Xenopus tropicalis: one gene and its partner. The protein of the gene in region 1 interacts with the protein of each later gene in a pairwise test. Links are inferred from orthologs where the notes say so. Each region holds a gene or a part of one and is shown on either strand. Other genes may lie near its edges.

Region 1 (3,574 bases):
CTCTTTTATACAGGCCCTGGAGGAGCTGGAATGTCAGACCACCCCAGTTTCAGAGCAGAGCCGGATGGAACTGGAACAAAAGATAGAAGAGACTAGAGAGAATATGCGCAAGGCAGAGGTAAGTTGTGCCATCTGTAACACTGGGGTAAATCGGGGGGCCAACAAGCAGTGCAGTTGTGTTGTGCTCCCAGATTTTAGAACTTTGCTTGCGCACAGAGGCAAGATTTGAAGCAAGAACTTGCAGCAAAAGTCACTGGTTGCTGATGAGTATTATGTCCCAGTAAGGGTTAAGGCCTTAGGCAAGAATATGAGGACTCTATCTGTCTCTGGTTTCACGACAAAGGGCAATATTCTTTGTCGCCTGATTCTCTTCCTCAGGTGTGACATTGTTTAGCGTCCCTGTGTCTGGTTGCTGCAGGGGTTAGGTTACCGTATGCCCTTTCAGATCAGAAACTTCAACACTTCATTGGCCTGGTTACTTTCCCATGGCTGGGGGAGGCTGTTTCGTAATGCACCTATGACTTTCTGGTCCGGTATTTCCCATACCTAGAGTGTAAAGTCCATAAATATTGGATGCAGATCTACCATCTGTACCGCATTGTTAAATAAAGGGGAAGTAAGAAAGATAATCTAGGCTCTAAATTGCCCTATTGCTGCTGCTTATACCTCAGATTCTTACTTTCATTATCTAACTCGTGTTTCCTTATCTAACTCGTGTTTCTCCAGTTTCCTTAATAAAGATTCACCCAGATCCATTTGGTTTTGCCCAAATGCTCCACGAGCAATTACAATTACTAGCAACCGCTTTCAGGGGGCATTTACAGCTGAGGGCACTAGCGTATCTATATAGGGGGCAAATCCAATGACCTATTTTGTGTTGCCTTTCTAATAAGGTCTATATTTGGATTTGTAATATAGCTGTGAGAACATTAGCAGCATGGTGGCACGCACATGAGGTTGCAGGAAGATACTGGATACCTAGGGCAGCTAATGATTATTTGTGCTTGATTAGACAGTGAGAATTGCCAAGCAAAAGCTCTACCCTCCTACCCTTTCACTTAACATGTAATTTATCTATCTGGTTATAAGTTACTTATCTGTCTTTGGTAACTGATGCCTTGTTATGCTTCATTATTGCTAAGTCTAATGTCCCACAGGGAGATTAGTCACCCACAATAAATTTCTGCTAACGTGGGCAACTGCTCTCCCCTAAATACTTTTCCACCGGCAGTAATGTGAACTGCCGGTGAGAAGGCATACGCATCACTAAGATGCCCGACGTTTCCTCGCAATTGGCAAAGCAAATGTCTTCCCACCAGGAAGCCAGTGATTTCTAATTCAAAATTCAAAGGAAATGTGTCCATAGAAATGGTTAGCACTGCTTCTGCCTCTGGATCCTAAGTTCCTTTGTGACCTGGAAACCATCTGCAAGGAGTTTATGCTTTTTCCCATTGTCTGTATAGGTTTCATGCCAGTACTTTAGCTTCCTCCCACATACCAAAAGCATACAAGCAAGTTAATTGGATGCAACAAGATTGGCCACGTGAATGTGATAGGGACCTTGGAATGTAAGCTCACTGGGGCAGGGGCTGATGGGAATGTGATAGGGACCTTAGATTGTAAGCTCCACTGGGGCAGGGACTGACGGGAATGTGATAAGGACCTTAGATTGTAAGCTCACTGGGGCAGGGACTGATGGCAATGTTATAGGGACCTTTGAGTGTAAGCTTCACTGGGGCAGGGACTGATGGGAATGTGATAGGGACCTTAGATTGTAAGCTCCACTGGGGCAGGGACTGATAGGAATTTGACAGGGACCTTAGATTGTAAGCTTCACTGGGGCGGGGACTGATGAAATATGCCACTATATAAAAAACAATAACAAATAATGTTCTATTCCTGTACAGATTACAAAGCTAAAAGCTGAAGCCCGACTGGATCTGTTGCGGCAAATCGGTGTGTCGGTGGACACGTGGCTGAAGAGTGCAATGAATCAGGTGATGGAGGAGCTGGAGAATGAGCGCTGGGCAAGCCTCCCAACCCTGATGAATAATGGCTCCTCCCATATGGTATAGTCACATTACCTCTATATATAATATAATATAAAATATATTATATTAAAATGCACCTTATTTACGGTTGCAGCTACAGTCACTGCAAAAAAATGGCAACCTGCAGCTCATGAATGACTTCTTTTTCTATTATTGCCCAGTGGGTTCTGTTCCAGCTGTTGCCAATCTCCTATTCGATTGGGCCACATATGTGCTGTCTCATGTGTGCTGGGTATATCATTTGGGTAGTTACTAATACTAAGATCCTTGTCATTCTGTGATTGCATTAAAATGGAAGTGAATTAGGATTTACAGTACTTACTGTAATTAAATCTCGCCATAAAACCACAGGCAGGAACAACCCAAAGCAATGTATTTCCGAGCTGCTGATTGTAAGTTAAATCTATTACCGGCCTATTGCCCTTTAACATGAGGAATTCTCTATATTACAAGTTAATGAGCCAGTGGGTGTCTCACCATAAATCATGCTCCCAGGTTATGAAACGCTGGCCGGCAGTCTGATAAACTGTCTGGGAGGCACCGGCCGATGAGTGGCACCTCATTTACAGCAAATGTAAATGAAAGGAACACAAGGCTGGGAATGTGTAGTAATTGCAGCGTGAGTCTCCGGTGTCACAAGGGGAGCGTCTCGCTTACTCATTAACTCCGGCTTCTTGTGCTGAAAGGCAGAATTCTCTAAATGCCAGTGCTGAAAACACTGCAGTAAATAAATAAAGTTGTACAGTTACACATCTGTTTAAAGAGACAGCAGGCCTTGTACCACAAAGCTTACAGTCCAAGCAAGATAGACACAAATACTGTAGAAGGGCAATAGGTGCTACCATTCATCGTGTACTATGGATATCTGTGGATTTGTCAGGTTTTACACTTTTTTACACTTCACCTTTAAGTATGTTATAGAATGACCAATTCTAAGCAACTTTTTAGTTGGTCTTCATTATTTATTTTTTATCGTTTTTGAACTATTTGCCTTCTTCTGCAGCTTTCAAATGGGGGTCACTGACCCCGGCAGCCAGAAACGATTGCTCTGTGAGGCTCCAGTTTTCTTGTTATTGTTACTTTTTTTTATAACCTTTTCTATCCAGTCCCTCTGCCATTCATATACCAGCCTTCTCATTCAAACCAGGCCTTGGTTGCTATGGTAATTTGGACCCTAGCAACCAGATAGCTGCTCAATCTCCAAACTGAAAAGCTGCTAAACAAAGTCAAATAACTAAAAAAAAAAAATACAAATAATAAAAAATAAAGTCCAATTACAAATTTTATCAGAATATCACTTGCTACATCACACTAAAAGTTAATTCAAAGGTGAACAACCCCTTTAAGGTGAAGAATAGCCACAGCGTTAGGTGTGTTGTTGGTTTTGATGTTCCCCCGACAGAAGGCCTGATTTCTTTGGTTGTTTGCTGACAGGGAGGCACAGATGTGGATCGGGAGGATGGAGAGGAGTTGGAGGACAGCATGGATGCCTTTGATGACAGCAGCTCCAGTCCTTCTGGCAC
Region 2 (2,414 bases), on another chromosome or scaffold:
TTACAATATAGATCGAGAAGTTAGTGCAGGAAACACATGGTGTGGTGGTTAGATGGAATTCGATACAAGACAGAAAGGGGGATTCCGCTCTTTATTTACAACATGTTAGTTTCACATCTCTCAACACTGTCAATAACTTAAGGGAAGCTGTGTGCTCTGTGTTTGGCAATAGTTCCACAATTCATTTGGCTGGTTACAATGTCTAATGATGAAGTACTGGGTGTATCCAATCCTGCTAACTAACAACTGGCATCTTTTAAAAATCAATAGTAACCTACAGTTTGCTAAAAAATTTAGAAGGTTTCAATGGATAAAATATTCAATTTTATGGCCAATTTAACAGGACTTACACATTATAAAGCAGCCATTTGAGTATTGTGACAACATTTGTTAAGCCATTAGTTGCCACAGCAGAAAACAAAGACAGGGAAATAGCTGAGCTTACATTACCTGGAGATCTGTGCATAACAATAGAAATGTATTTAAAACAGAAAATATAATAATTATATAGAAAGGCAATGTGTTGTTAATGTAAGGGCAGCTTTTATATGAAAAATGTGATTGGTATTCAGATTCATTTCAGTAGCAGGGACCAGATACACAGAGCACTGTGATTAGCAAAGGTAGCAGCCCCAGCCTTTACTGCATAAAACAGAATCACTTCTTACAAACAGCTGTTTTTGTTATTCCTCTTTAAAGTCTGAAAATAAATACAGTCCCTTATATCTCACAAGTAATGGCTCAGATCAAACAGCTGGAGTATCTGAGTTCAATGTAGCAACTTGCTCCATTTAACGTTCAGTCCTCTGCTCCCCAACATTTTACCATGGCAACGCTCATGGCGCAGCATAGGGCTCGGTAGGCAGACAGCAGCAAGGCCAGGATCCCACCGAGTCCACTCTATAGGAATCCCTCACGGCGAAACTGCTCTTGTAAGATATTTCTGTACTCATCAAAGCCACCTTCAATTCGTGTCACACCACCGTTTTCACAAACCCAGAGTTCTTGGCACACGAGTCTGATGAAACGTTCATCGTGAGATACCAAGATCACTCCACCCTGTAACAGAGAATAAAATATTAGGAGATACGAGGCAGAGCCCAGTGACAAGTGGAGCTGCTTATTACAAGGAGTTCTGCTATAGAAAGCTAAAGTGCAAAAAGAACAATACCTTGAATTTGTTCAAGGCTCTCCCCAAAGCTTCAATGGTCTCCATATCCAAATGATTTGTTGGTTCATCCAAAATATAAAAGTTGGGACTAAAAGAAAAACATGAGAGGAAGAACTCTTAAAGGAAAAATAATTTAATGAAGAGGAATATGCACACAAGCATTCCATTTTATTCTACAGAATAAGAAACTGCTATGCATGTCTACAATAGTAATGTCTATGCAAACGCTTCTCTAAAAAGCAGAGCAGCAACTCACACACAGATGGATATTAAGTGCAGGAATGTTTGATAAACTTTAAATCCTTTTGAGTTTTCCATCAAAATGTTCCACTGAAAACAGCCAGAATCTTGTATAATTAATAAGTTCCATTTCGCAATATGTTCATTGAGCACATGAACTCACCAGGGCATGGTCATTTGTGCAAATGCCACTCGGCTCTTCTGGCCCCCAGAAAGACTAGCAACTGGTCTCACTGCCAATTCGCCAGATATCCCATAACTTCCCAGCTGGTGGCGATATTCCTCCTCAGTTTTACCTACAAGACACAGAGTAATTAAAACAAAGCAGTATGGAAGACCAGAAAAAGCAACATGAGTGATCCATATTTTCACCACAATTCATGTTAGACAACTGCTTAATTAATTAATCAATCCATCTTGCTTTAATGTAATGGCACGGAGGCAGTTTGGGCCTTTTAGGCAGGGAGAGGGGGCACCAAAACAACTGAAAATACCATTGTATTGAAAAAGGAGATTTATACTTACCGTTACATCCTTTTCTCTTAGTCCTATAGGGGACACAGGCACCATGGGGTTAAATCCCCTCCCATCAGGAGGCAGGACACTGTATAATTTTGGTTTCTCTCCCCTATATAACCTCTTACCCCACCCAGGTACCTCAGTTATGTAACAAGACCGAGCAAACAGTGCTCTTAACTTAATAACTATAAGCTATAACACAGCTGAGTGAGAAGGTATGCATGATCCCTAAGTTTCCAGGGAGGGTGGCCTGTGTCCCCTATAGGACTAAGAGAAAAGGATGTAACGGTAAGTATAAATCTCCTTTTCTCTTGCGTCCTGGGGGACACAGGCACCATGGGGACATACCAAAGCCGTCCCCACTGGGAGGGAGGAAACTGAACTAGAATTTATTGCAGTCTAGCTTTGAACTACCGACTGCAGAACTTTACGCCCGAAGGCTGCCTCGGCCGAGGCGAAGGTATCGAAGCGATAGAATTTTGCA

What was found. The genes of interacting proteins can lie anywhere in the genome.
Region 2: the proteins of fchsd2 (region 1) and abcf3 interact in binary tests that used the Homo sapiens proteins (3 or more experiments, as listed by UniProt). The two-hybrid records come from large-scale screens. The link is inferred for Xenopus tropicalis from reciprocal best matches to the Homo sapiens genes FCHSD2 and ABCF3.

The regions. Positions count from the first base shown.
Region 1 is NC_030678.2:172,222,722-172,226,295, reverse strand, and holds part of fchsd2 (F-BAR and double SH3 domains protein 2), read left to right. Parts: intron 1-13; coding exon 14-118; intron 119-1,907; coding exon 1,908-2,069; intron 2,070-3,485; coding exon 3,486-3,574. UniProt on the Homo sapiens protein: Adapter protein that plays a role in endocytosis via clathrin-coated pits. Contributes to the internalization of cell surface receptors, such as integrin ITGB1 and transferrin receptor.
Region 2 is NC_030681.2:100,064,563-100,066,976, forward strand, and holds the end of abcf3 (ATP-binding cassette sub-family F member 3), read right to left. Parts: intron 1,708-2,414; coding exon 1,575-1,707; intron 1,260-1,574; coding exon 1,172-1,259; intron 1,060-1,171; coding exon 901-1,059; 3' UTR 527-900; downstream 1-526.